Alligator mississippiensis: one gene and its partners. The protein of the gene in region 3 interacts with the protein of the main gene of each other region in a pairwise test. Links are inferred from orthologs where the notes say so. Each region holds a gene or a part of one and is shown on either strand. Other genes may lie near its edges. The genes, in order: MYRIP, ODAD1 and C6H1orf216.

Evidence for each region.
Region 1: the proteins of C6H1orf216 (region 3) and MYRIP interact in binary tests that used the Homo sapiens proteins (3 or more experiments, as listed by UniProt). The two-hybrid records come from large-scale screens. The link is inferred for Alligator mississippiensis from reciprocal best matches to the Homo sapiens genes C1orf216 and MYRIP.
Region 2: the proteins of C6H1orf216 (region 3) and ODAD1 interact in binary tests that used the Homo sapiens proteins (3 or more experiments, as listed by UniProt). The two-hybrid records come from large-scale screens. The link is inferred for Alligator mississippiensis from reciprocal best matches to the Homo sapiens genes C1orf216 and ODAD1.

Annotation. Positions count from the first base shown.
Region 1 is NC_081828.1:134,549,992-134,557,181, reverse strand, and holds the start of MYRIP (rab effector MyRIP), read right to left. Parts: upstream 3,070-7,190; 5' UTR 2,700-3,069; intron 1-2,699. UniProt on the Homo sapiens protein: Rab effector protein involved in melanosome transport. Serves as link between melanosome-bound RAB27A and the motor proteins MYO5A and MYO7A. May link RAB27A-containing vesicles to actin filaments. Functions as a protein kinase A-anchoring protein (AKAP).
Region 2 is NC_081828.1:38,585,668-38,593,121, reverse strand, and holds the start of ODAD1 (outer dynein arm-docking complex subunit 1), read right to left. Parts: upstream 3,002-7,454; 5' UTR 2,885-3,001; intron 2,433-2,884; exon of another isoform or gene 2,243-2,432; intron 1,775-2,242; exon of another isoform or gene 1,567-1,774; intron 1,001-1,566; exon of another isoform or gene 988-1,000; coding exon of another isoform or gene 921-987; intron 1-920. UniProt on the Homo sapiens protein: Component of the outer dynein arm-docking complex (ODA-DC) that mediates outer dynein arms (ODA) binding onto the doublet microtubule. Involved in mediating assembly of both ODAs and their axonemal docking complex onto ciliary microtubules.
Region 3 is NC_081829.1:8,811,367-8,818,394, reverse strand, and holds the start of C6H1orf216 (UPF0500 protein C1orf216 homolog), read left to right. Parts: upstream 1-4,016; 5' UTR 4,017-4,185; intron 4,186-7,028.

The DNA of each region.
Region 1 (7,190 bases), on a different chromosome or scaffold from region 3:
TCTTGAAAGTCAACCATGCATGCATGTTTTCTTAAACCTTATTCAAACATTATATTTATTGTAGCTCTTGTTCTCCTTACCATTTCTCAGGGTAGTGATGCAGGATCCCTGTATGTAATTGCATTCTCATAGCTGGCTTTTATTATTTGTGCGTTTCTCCCAGAGAAGTCCCTTTTAAAAGTCAATTGTCAAAGCACCTGGTCAAATTCACTATTATTTTTAACAGTAGGGCTTTTTTTCATGGGGGGGGGGGGGGGGGGGTCTGCCCTGCTAGGACTCAGAGGGAAAAACTGGCCAGTTTGGAAAGTTATAGACTATGACCTTATTTTGTTTCCAAACAGTACAGATTACAAAGGGGAACATTTCATAAGAAATATTGGCCTGTCTAAAAGAGTAGTTCTAAAATGCCTCCCAAGAATGCAAATTAAGTCTTGTACACTTGTCCCAGGAAGCCACTGTCTGAAATGTATCATGTATGTTCCATATTCGCATCTTAGAACCCAATTTTGTCATTGTACTTTAAAAAAAAAAAATCTTCCCATTTATAGTCTAAATATATTTTTTAATAAGCCGTCTGCTTGTGGAATCTGACTGATAAGCAAATAGTTACATATTTACAGGGCAGAAGACCTCTGTGCACATGCTCTGATACAATTATTTCTATTAAAAAATAAAAAAAGAGACAGATTAGGGCACATCATGGTTCAGGGAGTTAGGAAAGTCGTTCCTTTGTAAGTTTTAAATTCAGATTCCTCTCAGGTTGTTAATAATCAGATGGTATTAATATGTGATGGATGGCAGTTCAGTGACCTGTATAAAATCAGTTGATGATCTCTGTCCACTCCCTATTGGCCTGGCAGCTACATCATCAAAAACACACTGGCAAGCTATGATGACAGTCTGGACAAAACTATAAAGGCTTGGGTGAATGTGGAAAATGAACTCCCTTCTCCCTCTTATAAACAGCCCTTCCTGAACAGGACTGAGGCATCTTGTCACAGAAAAGGGAAAGACCTTCATTACCAATGCCCACATTATGCCTGTTCTAGAAATAAAAGTTTCTAGCCTTTATAACTTTCACTCTGCCACCTACTGACATTTTCACAGAGGGATGATGAAGGGATGAATTTAAAAAGGAAGAGGAAAAAAAAAACAACACAAGCATACTTTCTATCAACATAAATCCATAGGTACAGTTTACATCTCTATGAACCTACTTAGGGTGGCACCTGCAATCCAAGACATTTTGCTTAATTTTGTGATCCAATTCGGTTACATAAATCTCAAACAAAATATAAACCAAACCATACAGCTCAGAGTGACTAAATTAGATTCCCTAAGACAAGTCATCGTAAACCATATGGTATTTTCCCCAGTAGTTACAATATGCTGACCTTGATACTAGCAAAATGTGTTCTCTTCTGTAAAAAAAAAAAAATAAATAAATAAATAAAGTGATGCTATATACCGTAGTTGCAGAAAGAATATACTGAAATGCTGCCATACATATCTTCCATTACAAACCTCAAAGTCCTCCCAGAAGTTAGTTCACCCATAGTAAAACATTCTATTCATTAAAGAAAAACATGCTGTGATGGCATTGCCCGGATAATGATATTATTTAAAAACCTGCCAAACTATTGGGACATCTGGCCGGTAATCACAATAAAGAAATCTAATGCAAATATATTCAAACACTGAGACCTAGCACTGGGTCCAGCCAATTAATGCTGCTTTTATAAATGTGGGAAAGTCAGCAGGATATAACTGCTGGGCAGCTACAAACGTACAGTTTGGAAATAACGCCACTCTTTCTTATGCCTTATCCCCATGCTACAGAAAACCTGCTTGCACAGTGAATGGAGGAGCCTACTCTCTCCCTATGTCCAGATTAGAGACTCTTAATAAACATTTCCACATTACAGACCCCTGGCCAGCCCAGTTTCACTCTTCCTTTCAGCATCCATGCTCTGCCCCTGTGCGCCAAGGTACTGGGTAGGATGATCCTGTGCTCCAACCCAGTAAATGACAGTTCTTCTGTACAAGCATCACTGTGCTTCAGTAAGAGAGAAAACCCAAGGTGGGGGGGGAGAAGGTGGGAGGGAAAGGGAGGAACAAAATAATAGGTGTCTGCTGCCTGGAGAAAATGAATAAGGCTAGGGTAGGATCGCACCTTGGAGGCTAACTAGATCACAGAGGCATACGGTGAGCTCTGGCTGGCTTCATCCCATCGTCAATCAAGGGGCACAGCATGAGTCTGGCTTTGACCTTCGTTTGGGGGAGTGGGGGAGAAGTCCAGATCGCAGCCTCCTCCCCACTGCTCCAGCCATCCCCTGCATCTGAACCTCTCCTCCGTCACAGGGGGTGAGACAGGCCCCCCCACGAAGCCACCCCGGGATGCAGGCGCAGCCACCGGGGGGCACCAGCTCCCCCACAGGGGCTAATGGCAATGGGGAAGGGAAGGGGCAATGCCAGGCTGCGCACCTATGCGACAGGCAAGAGAAGGAGGATTGGGAGGGGGGAATTGGACTGTCACTGCACCCCCCAGCACCTGCCAGCCCTTCCCTTCACACCACAGCAGCTGGGGAAACTCCTGCATGTCCCCCGCAGCGCACCCAGGCTGGGAGCTGCTTGCCCCAGCAAGACAGAGCCCCTGCGGCAGTGCCAGGGCAGGCAGGGCAGGGCAGGTGGGTACTCACCACGGCAGCCTGCACCAAAATGGAAGCTGGGCAGTAGGAACTTCTCTCTGCAGCGCAGCGCTCGCCGAAGAAGGATGCTGCGGATGGGTCAGCAAGTCCTTGGCCCCGCGGGCCGGGGTGGCTCCTGCTGCCTCGCACCACTGCCCTCGGGGGCGGCAGGGAGAGGAGGAAGGGGATCCCCGCCGCGGGGCAAGGGTGCCTACCAGCGGCTGGGGCAGGGCGCCAGGTGGGCGCTGGCGCTGGTGCTGGGGGCCGCGCCTGCCATGGCACTGCCTCGCCCGCGCTGCCGCCACCACCTGGCCGGCCCGGCGCGGCCGCGGGGGAGCCGAGCGGAGCCGAGCGGGGGCCGCGCGGGTGGGGGGGCGGCGCGCGCGCACTGCAGCGGCGCTGCCTCTCCTCACTGCAGCTGGCGGGAGCGGGCAGGAGCCGGCGGCCTCCGAGGGAAGCGGCTACCCCCGCCACACCAAAAAAATAACCTCTCACGCCTGGAGGCGGGTGCCGAGACCCAGTGACAGGCGTGAATGGAAGGAGGCGGGCTTTCGTACAGCAAAAGGTACCCAGGCTGGAGCCGTCTTGGGCTGGAGGCAAAAGGAATCAAAAGTCTAGCAAATAAAGACTTTTTTTTTTATTTGGGGGGCGGGGGGCAAATAGCTATTAGTCTAAACAAAAGAGCTCACCTCTGCCACGAGGAGCTCTGATTCATTTTCATTTCAAAAGGCCCCTCCAATGCTTTTGGAAGCTTCCCCCCCCCCCCCCCGCCCGGATTGAGCCTCCCACAAACTGCTGAAAAACAAAACAAAAAATGCCCCCTCCACCAAAACAAAACAACCCCCCAAAACAAAACGCCCCCGTAAAAAACCAAACAATAACCCCCCAAAACAGAACGACCCCAAAAAACAAAACCCCCCAAACCCCAAAAAACAAACACCCCAAAAAATCAAAGAAAACCCCCAAAAGAAACACCCCCCCCCCCCGCAACTCTAGCTGGGGTCACTTCTTTACATAACTGCATTTAAAGTAGATATCCTGCAGAGCTGTTGGTTGTAGCCGTGTGGCTCTTGGACATAGGCAGGCGAGGGGCTTTGGCTAAGCTGCACTTGTCTGATTCAATATGGCAAAGGGAACAAATGCCTTTGGGAAAGTAAGTCTCAGCCCTGGCTAGCACAAAGGTCATTCATTGCTTCTGCTAGGACATGAATCAGTCATTCACACCGTCTTCCTCAGCCTAACGAAGGGTGTTTGTGCCCAAAAGAAGAATTTTTCCAACTGGTTGAGTTGGTTTAATAAAAGATATCAGATTGACCCAAAGAACCTTGTCTGCCTTGTTCGCAGCACACATTTATAGCACAGGTAGCATTTATAGCACTCCCTTAACCTTGTCCCGGTTAACATTGTTTCGTTATTACATTGCTGATTGATTAGAAAACAAACTTGTTTAAAGTCGCACAACGTTCGGTCAGAACGTTGTTTGGCCACCGCCTGCTAGTAGGTGACTACTGGGATTCACTTAAACATTGTTTCACTTAACGTTGCATTTTGCAAGAATGTAACTATGACTGTAAATGAGGAGGAGCTGTATGATTGAAAAAATATCTGAGGAAATCTTTTGAGCAGCCCCTCACCTGGGGAGTGGGGTCCAGGCATCCAGTGAGCAAAAGGGTCAGATCCAGGGGCTGCAGATCAGATAATACTTTCTTTGTTGAGAGGAGAAAAAGGCTAGTCTGCAAGAGGGGCTACACCCAGACACACTAGGAAAGGGATGGGAGCTGCTGGGGGCATCTACCCTGCCCCACCCCACCCCACCCCACCCCACCCCACCAGCAGCCACACCACAGAGACAGCCTGAACCAGTGCAGCCCAGCTTCATGTGTTACTAGGCACAAGCACAGGGCCAGTTTTTCGGACCTGGCAGTACTCATTGCTTCACAGCATTGCTGTTACCACTGCAGGGCTCCCAGTGGCAGGCTTTGCCAGAACCCAGGATTTCCTTTAATGTACAGACACGAGGGGCAATTCAGCAGAGAAGAGTCTAAGGGGAGAGGGGAAGCCAAGCACAGTTCTTCAACAAAGTGGGGAGGCCAACCTTTATCCTGCGACACATACGGCAAAACTCAGGGTGCAGCAGCACTCCCTGGCTGGGGAGATGATGGCTTGGCCAGTGACAGCTAGCTTCCAAGAGGAAAATGACTGGTTTTTAGTTTAGAAACAAACCCTACAAGAATGTTTCTCAAACTTTCTCTGGTTGATCTCCTTGTTTTCTCCCCACAGGCATGTTGACATGCTCACAGGGCCTCCTTACACATCACTTTGTGTGGCTCCTAGAGTTCTTATTGGACAATCTGGGGGTTAAGAGCTCCAGGAACATGTGAACACCTGAAACTGGTTTTAAGCACTTGTGAGGCAGCTCAGAGTGACTGATCCCTGTCACCCAGCTTGTGTTGCACTAAGGTGTAGCCAGGTTAGGCTACACCTTAGTGTAAACACCCCACCCCAGCTGGTCCAGATCAGGGCTAATGCGCCAATTGCCCTCCCCAGCACCCCAGATCCAGGCTCACTGTCTCCCCACCCCTCCTCCCCTGCTTACTTGAGGCTTCCCCAGGGCTGTTTGTCCCAGGGAGCAGGCAGGGAAGAGTTAAACTACCTGCCCAGGGGAAGCTGCTTCTGCTTCTCTCTGCACCAAAAGAGCAACAGCTATACAGCAGCAAGCAGGTAGGTTAACCCTACCCTGCCTACTCCCCCAGGACAGACACTGCAGGCAACCACAAGGAATTCCCCCCGGGGTTGTGGAGAGGCAGGGGAGAGAGCCCTAGGGCAGGGGTGTTTGAGGGAGCCCTAGGGAGCAGAGGGGAACTCTGGAAAGGAGGAGTGGGGAGAATTCTTACCTTTCAGTCCTCCAGGCCCCTGCTGGCCTGAACGTGTCACTGCTCCAAGCTTGAGCTAGTATTAACACAGATCAATATTTGTGTGGCTTACAGCATAGGGTGTAATAAGGCCCAGCCAAAAAAGGAAGGCAGAGTGCACCTGCTTTCTTTTCCCTGCTGTGTAACTGTTTCTCTTTCTTTTCTTTTTTTTTTTTCCTTCTCTGTGGAAGAGTTGTTATAGACTCTCAGTGCCCTTTTCTAAAGGCTTTCTTCTACTTACTGTTTAATGTTTTCTGCGCTATTTAGCCAAATAGCAACCAGTCTCATATTTGACAGCAGAGTCCTGGAGTAAATCTTGGCTTATGGGTGTCCTTGGAGCTCTACCACACATCTGAATGGTTTAATGGAGCAAAAACGGATTTATGGGAAAGCCTGTAAGATTTTTTTTCTCGTCAGATGATTGCCTCTGTATCAAAATCAGACCTTATGCAGATGTTAATCCTCTCCTGTCCTATCCAAACTGAGGCTGTTGCCTATCCAATCTCTTCTTAGACAGCTCTAGTGAAGGAGATTCTACAATGTTTCTAGACAGCTAATTCCACTGTCTTAAGTGGAAGAACAGTTGGACAATAGAGCAAGCCACTTGGGGATGTTGGGAAATGCAGAGTAGGCCAAAGGAACAATCTGTACTGTTTACTCCTCTGTAAATAGTATGGAAGAGTTCTTTGGAAGTACATTAGAGCCAGTAGAGACAAAAGGGGAGTTTCTCAATGTCCCTTGCCTATTTGTTTTTGGTATTTGCTTGGACAACATAGCCTATAGATTAGAAGTGCTATTTATAAGATGGTTTTGATCACCTCAGAAGTTGTTATAGCAATAACGACTAGGTTCAACATTAATTGGCTGCATCACTAAATAGATATGATATAACACCAAGTCTATGCATATTTAACGCTTTTAAAATCTTGAATGTACCTTCCTCAAAATGCAATTTTTACACCGTGTGGCCCTGATCCTTCCCCCACTGAAGACAAAAACAATATTCCTATTGACTTTAAAGTATTCAGAATAAATCCATATCAAAAGACACTGCTGGTGGCTATCCCACAGGGTCAGCTACCTAATAACTGGTAGCAGAGGTGCAGTCCACATATAGATGGATAGGAGTGAATTTAAAGTAAAGGGAAACCAGATGGCTCAAACTGCCAAGACTTCCTGGCATACGGGTTGAGTGTGCTGTGTTATTATAATGAAGTTGTGGCCTGGTCAGTCATTCACATAATCAGTGAATCATTGCTGTAATTTGACTGCGCTCTCTACACATCCTGTATTATTGCAGACTGTGCTGTATCAGACTAATTATTTTCCTTTGGTGTTGTTTTCATTCTTATTTTTCATGCTTGTTTAACTTTGTTTCAAAGTGGCTGCAGCTGTTCCTTGGAAGGTATGGTATATTTTTATTTGATTTCAGTTAAAGTGTTCTGTTTCGGACAATTTTGGAAGATTTTATAGGAAAAAACCATTTGAATTAAGATATCATAAATGAAACAAAAAACATATTAAACATTTATGTGGGTACTAATACCCACTTATGTGAGTTAATAAAATGAGTGCCAAGCCATAAAGGATG
Region 2 (7,454 bases), on a different chromosome or scaffold from region 3:
AAGGGCTCTAGCCACAGTCCTGCCTGCCATGGCCCAGCCCCTCCCACACATCCAAAATGTGGCCCAACTTCCTTGCAGCCCAGCCATATGATGTCATGCCAAGACCCCATGATATCACACCAAGGCCCTGACCTATCATGGCCCAAATCCTCATACACAAGACCCATGATATGCCAAGGCCCACTGTGGCCACATGACATCAAACCAAGGCCATGCCTTCCACATGCTAACCTTCTCACAGGCAACCCACATGACGGCACATTAAAATCCCATGACATTATACAAGGCCCTGTCTGCCACTGCATAACTTCCTCATGCCAAGGCTCCAGGATGTCATGCCAAGATCCCATGAGATCACAACATGGGCCCATGACATCACAAGATGATACCTGCCATGACGCAAACACCTTATGCCCAGACCCCAAGATATTCTATCAAGGTGCTGCCCCCACAACATTCCCTGACTCCTCCCACCAGATATTCTTCCACCCCCAAGCTGTTCCCACCAGGCTCTGGAAGCCCTTCTCCCACTCTGACCACCCCGGGGACCTGGCAAGGGACACAATACCCACCTAAGGGTGCTAAGGAACTGCCCCTGACCCAGGTGATTGCCACAGACCTAGGGGGAGTAGGTGTGGATCCAAGACATAATGCAGGGCAGTCTGTCCTGCTGGGGGTATGGATATGGGGTGCCTTGGTGTGGTGAGGTTATGTACGGGTACCCCATGGCCTATGAGGCAAGGGCTGGCTGCCAAATTAAAATCTTGGGGTTGTCTGGGGCCAGCTGGGAGGAGCATGGAAAGGGGTAGTGGTGTGCAGAGGCCCTCAGGGGCTGAGAATTAAGAGATGGGGCACCATGTCCCTAGGACCAGGATGTGACAGGACAGGGCCCAATAGAGGTCCTGCGGCAAAGCCATTACCAATGCCATCCAGGTCCAAGTCACTGCTGTCAGAGCGGTTGCTCAAGGCAGAGCGGTGCAGCGGCATCTTCTCCTCCTTGCTGATGTTGGGGCACAAAAAAGGGAGACAGAGATTAACTGGGCACTGTGGAGTTATTCCCAGGCTGCTGGTCTCATTAAGGGCAGCTTAACGGGGGTTTATATCAGGGTGCTCCACGCAGCACAGGGCATCACATGTGGGGCAGACAAGCAGAGGCGTCTGGTTTGACACTGGAGCTCTCTACACTGCCTCAGAGGGTGGCTGCTTCTGGGACACAGCACAGTAGGTAAAAACAACCCCTCTCACAAGCCCTGTGCTCCCAGGGAGCTGTGCCCTTGAACTTAATACAGAAGCTAAAGGAGCTGGGCTGGGCTGAGGGAAGGGGAAGCATTGGGGGTGAAACTGGGGCAAAATAACAGCTGGTTCACACGGTGCTTGCAGATCAGGGTGGTAGGAAAGCTGGGGGGCTGTTTTGGGGAGAGGGTGATTTCTGGAGAGGGCTGGGGATTTGGTGTGAGTCAAAGGGGCTAGTTTAGGGAGAAGGTGTCAGCTCAGGGTGGGTATGGGGCAATCCTGTTCTCAGCCCTTCCTAACCCTGCCCTCCCAGGAACCTGGAGCAGGGGATACCTGGGTCTCCTCTGGATGGTCCTTGAAGGCCGCAAGCAGGCACAGGCAGAGGGAGGGGGAGGTCACAGCCTCCAAAGGGTGCAGGGGACTCTGGCACTTGCTCCCTGTCTCTGCATCACTCACTCCTCCAACCCGCCTCCAACTCAGTTGTTAGTTACAGTCTCCAGGAAGTTAAAGTATCTCAGCCTATGGAGGAGCTGGATGGAGCCTGGGGGCGGAGCCAGGCAGGGGAGAATGCATGTGGGCTGAACACCCCTCCCACTACCCCCTCCCTTCCCCCCATAACTCCCCTCCCTTCCCCCCCACCCCAACAACCCTCCAATGCCACTCCCCCCTGGCTGCCCACCCCCCACTCCTCTCCCATGCCTCCATAGTTCCCATCACCCCCTTCAGTCCATCCCTAGCCCCCCCCCCCATGACCTCTCTTCTCCCCTTCCCCACTCCAACCTCATCCATCCATATACCTTCCACCCATGTAACCCTCAGCCTCTACCCCTACTCTCAGTCCCAACCAAATTCCTCCCCCCGAACCTCCTTCAGTCCCACACTCCCATGCCACCCCCTCACTGGACACCCCAGCTCTGGTGCAGATGACGGGGGGTGGGGAGGGGGGACGAGATGGGGACTGCAGTGTGGGGTAAGGGAATGTGCTGCCCAAGCATGGCCATAACCCTACCCTCATCCCAAAGGGCATCGCAGCCAGGTAGGGGCCACTCTGTCCGGACAAGCAGCACCATCACTGCTCAAAGCAGGGAGGAAGGTTCAGTTCAGCTGGCACCACCAGTCATGCCAAGGCCCCATCACAAGTCTGCAGCATTAGACCACTCCAAGGCCCCACCAGATCATGCCAAGGCCCCGTCACATGCCTGCACCATAAAGCCAAGGGTAATGACCACGCATCTGCTCATGCCAAGACCTAATAATGTGCAAACCACTTTGGGTGGCTCCAGTCCCATCACATCCCCAAGCCACAGTAGCTTGTGCCACAACCATTTCAGACCTCTTCACACCAACAGCCCATTAGGTCAGATCACACCACAGCCCCATGGGACCACATCTAGGCAAGATGCCACAGGAAGATGCCAAGTCACAGGACCCCAGCAAGCTGGGGGACACTGCAGCCCCCCTGGGTCAGCACATGGCCCAGAGAGTCACAGCAAGCCCAGCACAGGTCCCCTGGGCCACAGAGTGGCAGTGTCCACCCCAGGACACAGCATGGCCACAGCACAGCAGGTCATGCCAAGGCTATGGCAGGTCACATCAAGACTACAGCAGGTCTTGCCCAGCCCCATGCGGGGGGAGAGGAGGGAAATCTCACCAGCTCAGGCCCGATGAGGCCAACTGTGATCTCCTGTTGGGGAGGGGGAACCTCCATCCCTCCTAATCAGGACCCAGGCGTGACAATACCCATGCGCCAGGCCAACAGCTCCTTCCCCTCCCTTCGCCAAAGCCCCGCCCACGCACAGGCCCCGCCCCTTGCTTCTCCCGCCATTTGCTTCCACTTCCTCCCTTTAGGAGCGCGAATTACGCATGCGCATCACCCCGCCTGGCTGTGCTGGGTAGGAGATGCAGGAGGCTGCTCAGGGATTCCCGGGCGCGGGGAGGGGTCGGCTGGGTGCCCGGGGCGGGACCGGGGGCAGCTCATTTGCATGCAGTGCCCCACGAAGCCTTGTGGGCGGTCTGCAGCCACGTGAGTCAGAGGCCGGACTACCCCGGCACACCACAGTCCGGCCCAGAAAGCTGCCAAACCACAGCCGACCCCCCCCCTTGCCCCCGTCTGTTTGTACCATCACAACAGTTGCCAGGGCACCAGGCATCTGAGTGGGCAGGGGTTTCCGGGGAGCGGAAAGCGATACTTCCTCCCGTCTCCGCCCTGCCCCCCCCCCCGGGCCTGAGCTGGGACTGCTGGATGTGCGGTTTCAGAGGGCCTGCACTACACCGCTCTGCCTGGTGTTGCCAAGTGAGAAGCCCCCTTCCATCAGCCTCCTGCTAGGATGCTAAGAGACTGACCCAGGGGGATAGAACCCGGGCATCCTGGCTCCCCATCTCCCTTGATCTAACAACCCACCAGACCCCACTCCCTGCCCAGAGCTGAGGTGGAACTGGGGTGTCCTGGCTCCCAGCCCTCCCTTGCTGCAACCTCTCCCCAGCCACAAGGAGGAACTTCCTTCTCTTGTATTTCTGCTTCTGGGTGTCTCTAGAGGTGGGAAGTGAGAGCCTCCTCACCCCAGCTGGGTGAGCAGGAGTGGAGATCCCTGTCTGGCTCAAGAGACTCCTGTCCACCCCAGCCCTTCCCATCAGACACTCCACTAAGGTGTCATGTTGTGAGCTTTGGGGTTTCCATTCAAAATGGGAAGTTTTCTTCCTTTGCCATGGTGTGAAACCTCCAGCCATTGGCTTCATAGCACTGGTTTGGGGTAGTTTTTTTGGGGGGGTTGTTTTGAGGAGCAGCTGAATGAGTGTGGAAGGTGGGAAGGATAGTTTGGTTGGAGAGGCACCTGCTCAGACAGGGCCTGAAGTGTTGGGGGGGGCTCTCTTGAGTTTGAGAGCTTGGAGAGTCTTTGGGGGTTCAACAGCTAAGACTAATGCTCTCTTTGCATCCTGGAGGGCAACACTAAAGGGGTGCAATTTGAGGTCTGTGGAAGAGGCAGACATTCTGGGGAGCTCCCTGGAACAGCCAGGATTCTGGGGCTACACTTTGAAGTAGCCCCTTGCCACTTTCAGAAGGCAATATTTTACAGTTAGGGTGGCCAAAATCTGGAACCAACTTCCCAGGGAGGTGGTCTTCGCCCCTACCTTGGGCATATTCAAGAGGAGGTTGGACGACCACCTGTCTGGGGTCTTTTGAACCCAGCATTCATTCCTACCTGTGGCAGGGGGTCAGGCTAGATGATCTGTTCAGGTCCCTCCTGACCCTAGCTACTATGAAACTATGAAGTTGGGGTGACCCAGTGGGATCTGTCCTAGGGTCCACTCTCCTCTTGCCCCCACATTCCCCAGGGTCTCCCCTAGCCCCTCGCAGTTTCCTGTGGCTCCTTTATAAGCTTCTGAAAAAAGCATGATGTAGAGAGTAAATGCCACCAGCCCCTTCCTACCTCCAGTGAACTCCACCCCAACTCCCTGCCCTGGTGCCCTGAGTTTGCTAGAGGAACTGGGGAGACTGTAGGGTAGGGGCTGTCTTTTTAGACTTGTCAAAAATAGGAGAGGAAGTCAGAGGCCCTGGCGGAAACAACTGCTGAAGAGGGATGAGGTGTATTTCTCTAGGGAGAACCCCATACACATACATATGCCAAGTGGTGGAAGGAAGCTGGTGGCTTTGAAACCTGCAAAGGGCAGGGAGGAGCCCCAGATGGGAGTGCAGCTCGCCCTCCCAGCCATCACCTGGAGGTTCCTGCTGGTGCTGGGGAACATAAAGCCATGGCTTGAAGACCACATGTCCTATTTTAAGACCAAGGGAACAACCAACTTGGCCTCCCTGTCAACCAGTCTCAGGTTGAGCTACATCCCCCTAGATAATGATTTTCAACGTTCCAACTTGTCAGCAAATTAAATGCTAAATTACCCACCCCATTCAAGGTTCCAAAGCATTCAGCCAATCAGGGACTGTGTTGTGGTCCAAGCCTCATTCTGCCAGTCAGGGAGGAGGTGCACCCCTCCCCCACAACCTCAACCAACATATATACAATTTCAGTCTATAGTGTTATACCAAAAGGATGCAAAATTATTTGAAGGATTTATAATGTCCAGATTCTCTTTTCATAGATTCATAGATTGTTAGGGGCTGGAAGGGACCTCACAGATCATCGGGTTCAGCACCCCGCTCTAGGCAGGAAGACAACTGAATATTCCCCACTTTTCCAAAGCTCTTCCCCAATCAGTGACAAGTATTCTCAGTCTTGGGGGGTCCTAAACTACCAGCACCCAGTTGTCTTCTGAGTAGGTGGCCAATTACTGTCCCTTCCCAGAACTGGGAGAGATCCCAGGAGTCCTAGCAGTATGGTAATCCACAAGACTACAACCTGCTGCCCCTCAAACTGCAACAGAACCCAGGAGTCCTGGCCCCCAGCCTCTCTGCTCCAGCACACCAGACATTCACTCCCTTTCCCAGAACTGAGATGGAACCCAGGAATCCTAGCTCCCTGCACCCTCTACCAGACCCCACTCCTCCCCCAGAGCTGGGACAAAACCCAGGTACCCCCACTCCAGCACACCAGACCCTCATTCCCTTCCCACAGCTGGAATGGACCTCAGGCTCTCCCCCCTGCTTGTTATCACCAGGCACCTCTGTCCTTCTAGAGCTGGGATAGGACCTAGGAGTTCTGGCTGCCAGCCTTCCTGCTATGACCCACCAGACTTCATTCCTCTCCCAAAATTGGGAAAGGAACCAAGGTCCCAGTCTGGGCCAATCTGTGGGGAAGCCTGCAATGCCAGGGAATCCCGGGCTGGCAGTGCCTGCAATGCAATGGTCTGAGGGGGACAGAGGGTGGAGGGCTAGTGGGGAGACACACAACAAGGGCAGGGACTCAGTGCTCTCCATGTGGTGCCAGCTGGGGAGGGTGTTCTCTCGGGGTGGGGGCCCCATGTTCCAGCCCCCCAGCCAGCAGACACAGGACATCCTCATCTGGCCCCTCCCTCCTGGGGCTGCTGCCAGGGGTGTGGGGGGAGTTACTATTTATTCAGGCACAGACGCAGAGACAGGGGAAGGGAGAAGAGAGGGAGCGACACAGCCTGCGTCTCAGAGGAGTGCCCAGACCTGCCCAGGTACCCTGCTCCCTGCTGCTGCCCCTTGCAGTCCCCAGGGTGGGGGGTGCCTGTCTTTTAGTCTGGGTGGGTATGGGGATATCTGTCTGTCTGTCAGGGAGGGAGGAATGTGCTTTTGCAAAGTCTCAAAGTTTGGCTCTACTTGCACAGGGGGAGGTGCTAAGGGGGATCGTAGGGTGCTGGGTGCTTCCCTCTCCCGCTGCTTTTGGGAAAGGGGAGAGAAAAATCCGTTCCTCCCCCACACACACCCTAAACCACTGCTAGGTGGCTGCTGTCCCCCCCTCACCGTCTGGGAGGCATCTGTACCTCCATAAAGCCACAGCTGGTGCCAGCACAAAGAGAGCACCCCCACTTCTCAGTGCAGAGACCCAAACCCACAGCACAGAGCATAGCACACCCCCCAGCAGAGACACTGCTCCCACCCCAGCTCAGAGAGCCAGCCCCAGCTTATCCCTGCCCTGTCCAAACCCTGCCCTCCCTGCCACAATTACAGCCCTTGGGCAGAACAACTGGAAATGTGGACACCATACACGTGGCCAGAGACGGGCACCCCCTAGAAGGGACAGGTCCCTGTCCCATCCCCACCCCCTCAGCCAGACAGTGCCCCCCACCCCCCAAGTAGATGGGGCTGGAGCCCCCCCTGGAGGGAGTCAGTTTGCCCCATCCTGAAGCCCACCCGCCCAGCTCTGTGGAATCAATGGCTGGTTGTTTTCCCTTTCAAAGAAGCCTTGGTTTGCAGCAGGAAAAGTCTTGTGGCCAAACTGCTGAGGGCCAGGCGCCAGGCAGCTTCCTCATGGTACAGGGCTGGGTGGGGACCTGGGCTCAGGCCTGGTGCCTGGGAGGGCTCAGGCTGCTGTGCTAGGGGAGCTGGGAGGAGGTACTGTGGGGTAGGGAAAAGGGCAGGGGATGCTTAGAGGTGCCAAGCTGTTGAGAAGGGGGGCACTGTGCTTTGGGGAGTGGGTAGAGGATGCTAGGGATGCCAGGTTGCAGGCAGCATAGTAGGGGGGTTGTGGGGGCATCCTGCTGAGGGAAGAAATCCAACAGGGGGTACCTCCCATCTCAAGTACTGGTCCCTGGGCAATGGTAGGGATCACCGTGTCCTGGATCCCTTATCCTATTGGACAATA
Region 3 (7,028 bases):
GACACAGTACTCCAGATGTGGCCTCCCCAGTGCTGAATAGAAGGGAATAGTCACTTCCCTCTATCTGTTGGCAGTGCTCTGACTAATGCAGCCCAGGATGCCGTTAGCCTTCTTCACAACAAGGGCACACTGCTGGCTCCTATTCAGCGTCTTGTCCACTGTAACCCCCAGGTCCTTTTCTGCAAAGCTGCTGCTTAGCCAGTCGGTCCAACCTGTACCGGTGCATGGGACTGTTCTGTCCTAAGGGCAGATGTCCCGGGATTGCATCACTGGACCAATGAAAGAAAAGCAGCAGTGCATTCACCCACTCACTAAACCCTGATTGGAGGGGCAACGTGTATACATGCCAGTCCTGTGACTTTTCTTTTCTGGGACAACCAAAGGCACAACTTGTCCCAGGACAAATGCAACATCTGTTTGTAGCCTGTTCGTAACACCAAGGACCCCACTTCAAGGAGTCTTTGTTGTGCCGGGCACCTTAGAAATAGAATAAAAGGCCAGCCCTAACGAGCAGTATTGCTGTGATAGGGTTGTATTGCTGTAGGATTGAGGACATTAGCCAGGGCTGGGACACTCATGGTGCTTGGTGCTGTACAGAACAAAGACACATCCCCTGCCCCAGAGAGGTAGAAGTATAAATCAATATTACAGCTGACTGCTTGGGGCCGGAGCTGAAGGGGGATAAACATAGAAAGGAGGAACACAAACCCTCCTTGTGTTCATGTGAAGCACATTTTTGTCCCCCTGTCACCTCTCCAACCCCCAAGACTCATGTTGCTTAACATGCTGACTTCATCCAAACCATTCAGAACCCCTTACATTTGCTCTTTCCCTTCATCCTGGCATTAAGCCTGACAATGCCCCTTTATGCCCAAAGTGTTTGTGGTGCTTCATGTGACCTTCTTGCTCCAGGCTTTGCATTCATCCCTGCTTGTTTGATGTGCTACTGCTTTTTATTTTAACCTTTGGAGACACCCCCAAGTCCCAGCACAGATGGATAAAAGGTCTATTGAGAAAGCTGCATCCATAGCCCCCTCCCTGCGCTCTGCAAGGAGCTGATGGACTGTGAGGTAGGTACCACGGGGGAGTCTGGGTAGCCTAAAGCTCATAGGACTGATCAGGGGGATTGGGAAGAGGTAGAAGGAGGAGCTGTTCTGTTCATGAAAAATTGTCTTCAATGTGTTGCTGGGTGAGATGCATCCTCATACACATGCCCATACACATGCACACAGGGGGTATCTGCTGGGCTACAGGCTGTGTTTGGGGTTAGACCCCCAGAGACGTTTTGCCAATACCGTCCACTCATTACCCAGTAGCAGGTGGTGGTGCAGGGACATGTCCCTCTTTTCCTTCAGGTTTAGCAGGTTTAATCACCAGGCAGGTACCCCATAGACTCATGTTGTGCCAAAAGCCAGGACACATTTTGTAGCTTTGCCTCATTGCTTCTCCACTGGAGTTTTTCTGGGACTCCGAATAAATCTGGAATATAGCAGAGAGGCCTCATCAACCTGAGGACTTTCACCTGCCCAAAAGGGTTCTGGGAAGCTTCTCTCACCAGTGCGTGGCCAGCTAAGCAGCATGATTAAAATCCCAGCCACTGCCTGTTCATCGCAAGCCCCTTACTGTGGTATTTGTAGAGAAAAGAGTGATTCTAGTACACCACCGGTCTTGATGTTACAGCAAAAGTGGTAGGTAAGAGTAGCTTGCAGATCCCATTAAACTACATTATTAGGTGGCAAATTCTCTGTCTTTGAAGTCTTCTGAAACCTTTAATTAAGCTAGAAAGATAGTTGGGTTTTCAAGGGAGTGCCCAGGGAGGCTGAGAAAGCTCTTAACCACTAGGGAGATTTAATGATGGGAGTCATACAGCCAATGGGCATCAGCATCATATCCAGATGTAGCTCTGTGGAGGGCTCTTTAATCTGGAGATGGGACAGGCTGCCCTGGGACTCAGGGTGCAGACAATGACAATTTTTGCCCCATCTGGCCCCTGAAAGTACTCTATAGCCCTGTCCTAACACAAGTGCATGGCTGCAGAACACTTTAAAAGGGCCTGATCCCGCAACAATCTGAACTCTCATTACATGAGGGTTCAGATGAAGGTGCTCCAAACAGGAGTGCCTTCATTAACTTCTGTCTGTGCATGCTGGGTGCTTTCAGAATGGGGGAGGGGGAAGAGAGAGTAGGGAGCTCATTTTGGTTGTTGCTTAGTCAGTGCTGGAGGGTAAGGCAGGTGGCTTGGATGCCCCCAAGGTTGGGGGATCCAATTCATCCATCCTCTGACTCCAGTGCAGTCTGAGGAAACCCCAGAATGCAACTCCTTCCCCTGCCTTCTCCCTCTCCCAGCCTGAGACAGCACCAGGGGCCAGGAGAGGGGTAGTGGGGCTAGGGGAAGAGGGTGCAGAGTTGCAGCTTTTCTCTCTGGATCAGCTCCAAATTGGAGCTTGACCCCCCCTCCCCACTGACCCAACACCTAACCTCTTTTGGGTCAGGAGGGTCGGTCTAACTCATGGCGCTTTCTGTGAAGCACCATGAGTTAGACCAGGAAGCGGCACTTCTGTCTGCACCTTCAGAGATTCTGCACCAGCCCAAGGGACAGGGGAGCTTCACATCCTCTTGCTGCCCTCATGTATCCAGGTCAGAGAAGCCACAGACTTCTGTTATAAAGAGGATCAGAGCCAGTCCCATTGCTGGGCTCTCTATTAAAAAGATCTTATGCCCCAGGCCCTGGAAGAAAACATGGCTGTAGTCCAGGACATTCACTGACCAGATGCTCTCTGCACAGAGCTTCATGATAAGCCATGGGCAGGGAAATCCTTGATCTTGAAATATTGCCTCAACCCATCACACCCATGGTAGAGGTGAAGGGAGAGGGGCTTCAGATGGGCCAGGTGTCCTACTTGAGAGAAGGCCTGATGCTCTAGTTCAGCTGGACCAGCACCAGCTATAGCAATTTCTAAACAAAGGTCTTGCAACTGCCCTGGTTTCCACTAAAATCTCCCCACGTGCTTTGTACTTGGAAGTTACCATCAAGTGTGCGTTCCCAGCAGCAGAGCTTGGCTGCACGGGTGTCTCAGAGCGCACTGGTACAACCAAGGCTAGGAGGTGAGAGCACCTCGCTTCCTTTCTCTACCTGCACCCCTCCGACTGCTTAGCTCCACACTCCCATCCATTCCTGGGCCCCACGAAAGACAGAGGGACTGACAGGGTCTCACACCAGAGGCAGGGTTATGACAAGCACACCAGGTGAGCAGTGAGTGAGGCTGTGGGGATGGATCAGGCTCAAGTTTTGGTCTGGTGAAAAACCAATTGGAGACATGGAACACCCCCCCCCCCCAATTGCACTGCGACTGTTCCTCTGACCCCTTGCACATGCCTGGGGGTGCGGGGGTCACATACCACTGACATGCTAGCAAGACTGCTGCCAGGAATATATGTCTGTTTATTCATTCCTTTGTATTGTGGTAATGCCAGGGAAGCAGCTATCACAGACCAGGCCTTCATCATGTGCAGCCCTGTACAAATCCAGGGGGAATCCAGGGCATAATGTATTGGGAATCTGTCCACTTACCAACCAGCCTGATCAGAGCTAAATCTTCCAGAGTGATTTGGTGGCTTTCTGATGCCTCAGATTCCCCGGGGCGACTCTAATGCAGCCTGATTTTCAGAAAATCCTAAGCCACTCTCCCGCAGAAAATCAGGTTCCTTACAGCTGCCTCTAGGCAGGCCCTCCAAAGTTGCTGCTGCTGAAGTGTGAGTCGGTGATGTGCCGGACGCTCAATGCAGGTTCCTCTGCACAGCACGAGCATCTCTTTACTTACCGAGGGCTGATCTCCTGGCTGAGTGTTGTTTCCAGGGAAGCTGATTCCATCGCTAGGGAGACAGATCATCTTTTATAGGCTCTGTTAACCCCCCCCCCCCACACACACACACATACACACACTCACTTAACAGTGCCAGGCTTGTGCTAAGGTGGCCGTAGGTGCTGCCTTGCATTTCTTGCTGCCTGCTGATCATCCTGTGACAGGGCACTCCCAGCAGCGCCGGTTGCTGTAGGAAGTATGCAGTACATGACGCTTTCCTGCTGCTGGAGTGAGGACTATTTCCGTTCTCTCCAGCTCAGCAGCAGCAACAGCAGCAGCAGCCGCCTGAGAAATCCACCTTTGCTTTCCCAAGACCTCCTTGGTAAGTGTGTGCATTACGCGGGGGGGTTGTTTGTATTTGGTATGTGGCAGGAGATAACCTGATGCCAGGGGTTGAAGTCACCTACTTCCCCACCTCGGTGCTAGGCACAGGGCAAAGAGCACAGCCCCATGGTCACATTTGGACCCCTTTGACAGGGTGTGTGTGGGGGGAGTGGGGGTTTCTACTGACTTTCCAGCACTTTGCTGTTCTGCTCACACAGATGGTACCAGGACCCCAGCCCCACCTGTGCTTGGCCTGGTGTGTGTGTGTGTGTGTGTGTGTGTGTGTGTGTGTATGTGAGAGAGAGTGTGCATGAGCACATGTGCATGTGTGCATGTGTGCACATATGCATGTGCTTGTTGGGTTTCTGATTTGCAAAGCGTTCATTGATTTATTTGTAGGGTCCCACAGCATGGACAGGGCTTTTGCTCGGTGCCATCTTAGGGATGTGTGGCTGGTAACTGTTGTACCACACATGCCCTTCCCCTCCCACCCCCTGGCCCCTGCCCCAAAACACAAAGTTTGGACGTAGGCATGATAAACCCTCCTGCCCCTTCCCCTTTGAATGCCCAGGTGCTGAGCCTGCTACAGCCACATGAGCTGGTACAGGGGACCCTGCCGTAACTGAGGATCAAGGTTAGCTCAGTGGCCACATGAGGATGTGCTGGGACAGTGATTCCAACAATCTCATAATCCTGATCGCATCTGTTTTCTCTGTCTCCTGGCAGGGATTACCGTGAGCATTAGAACCCCTTTGCCTCTGCGTTGCCTTTCCCTTGCATTTTCCTTAAACCATTTGCAGAGCTCACAAGTCTGGGGAGCTGTGTGGTTTTTCCCCCCCAAACTCTAGGCATGCGAGAGAAAGGGGAGGTCCACCCTGCCGGCACGCTGCAAGGCAGAGCTTTGTGATGTTTGTACGGGGACAGCACAACTCTCCCCTGTGGCTCTGGGCACCATCCATCACATGCTACCACCACGCTGCAGCACATCATGCTGTCTGCTGCTGCTACACACACACACACACACACACACACACACATCTCTGCTTGCCATGGAAACCTCACCATAGCAACCATACTGGAATCCAGGTTTAAAGGGACAGGGTCATGGGGTGCAGCACAGGTGAAAGTGACCCCGTTCAAGTAGCCCTGAAAACACTGGGCCTCCTCTTCCCGCTGGGACCAGTCCTACACCAGTGTAGCTCCGTTCTGTTAAGTGCAACTAATCCTGGTCTACACTGGGGGAGAGGGGAAGAGGAACAGGATCATGGTCCGTATGCTGCAGTCATCCTGCAATGAGGGTCCATCCCCTGTAGCAGGAGGCTGGGGCATACACTTGGTCCTGTTGCTGCTGCAGTGGCTTCTGCTGAGCTGCAGGCCATAGCTGAGCTGTAGCCCTCTTGTAAAGCAGGTACCTGGGGAGCTGAGCTAGGGCTTTGCCTCTGAGGGCACAGACCTCTCTTCCCTGAGGCCAGTGGGGGCACTTGCAGTTGGCTGCAGCTGGTCCTCAGTCCCAGAGAGGCCTGTCACTCACACAGGCCCACGAAGCCAGCCCGTGACACCCCACGCTTCACCCCAGCTCCACTCTCTGCTCCTCTTTCTCCCTCCTGGGATTGCTCCTGCACCAGCAGCTTCAAGGATTGGATTCTGTTTCCTTCTAGCTTTGCCCCTTCATCTTGCCTTGTGTTTCAGGCACCCTTACCTCTTGCCCTGTAGGCATTCCTTCCAACATTTAGGGATATCCAGACCTAGATCCAGACTCACCCCCTGCCTGCGTCCAGTCCAAATCCTGGCTTTCAAACACCTATAAACTCTGGGTATTTGCAGCTTGAGCCTGGAGTGACATCTCTGTGGCACTTTTCTTGCTGATTAAATAGCTTTTAGTGCATTTCCCCTCACAGCACTCCTATGCAGCACAGTAGTACTATTCCCCCCTACCCATTTCACTGGCTCACAGGGGCTAGAAGACTCACCCAAGGTCTGTGGTAGGGAAGTGGTTGACCCCACTTCTCCCAAATTGCAGCTCAGTGCCTTAAATCAATGGACTGATGCAGAGAAAACTCTCCCAATTGCTTTAGCAAACACCCGCTTTTGTGAATCCTCTACATCTGATCTGTCAGGGGAGTTGCCATCCAAGATATATTGGTTATTACCTCACTGAGGAATGGCAAAGGTAAAACAACTAATGCTGGTTTTGGGTAGCCTGCTAAAAATCGCAGTCCTGCTTAGGCAGGGCTGGCCAGGGAAACGTCCCCAAGTTACAGTCCATGCAGTAAACACTCCCCATCAACACTGGTATTATTCCCACTCAACCACTAACTTTTGCATGGAAAAAAGGGGTAGCTAAGCAGTCTGGTCTCCTGGGGAGGGAATCTTGTTCTCCTGGGTTTTCCTGCATGTGATTTCTAGCACTAAGCTTTCCTCCATCTCTATTCATAACCCTGGTAGGAATTCTAGTTTGACATTTTTTTTTCCACTGGTTCCAGTTTGTAATGAAGGAGCAGGCCTACTGGTGCTATTGGCATCCTTGAAAAGTCAGAGACCAATGGAAAGCTGCACAGATCTATTAAAATAATCCAATGGGATGTAATAGGATTTCCACTGGGGAAGGTGAACAGACATTAAAAGAAGTAACCAAAAGTGTTTCAAATTTACACAGGTTCCCTTCATACGCCTCACCAACAGGGACAAAGTTTAAACTGTTTCCCACTGTTTCCCACAGCTTTTTTCTTGCAGCCTACAGTGTTTTGCACGGCTGACTTCATGCTCCTGGCTTGGTTGGTGCAGGGAAGAGATCCTGTGTGATGATGTCTATTTAGGCCCGTTAATCCAGACCGAGCATTG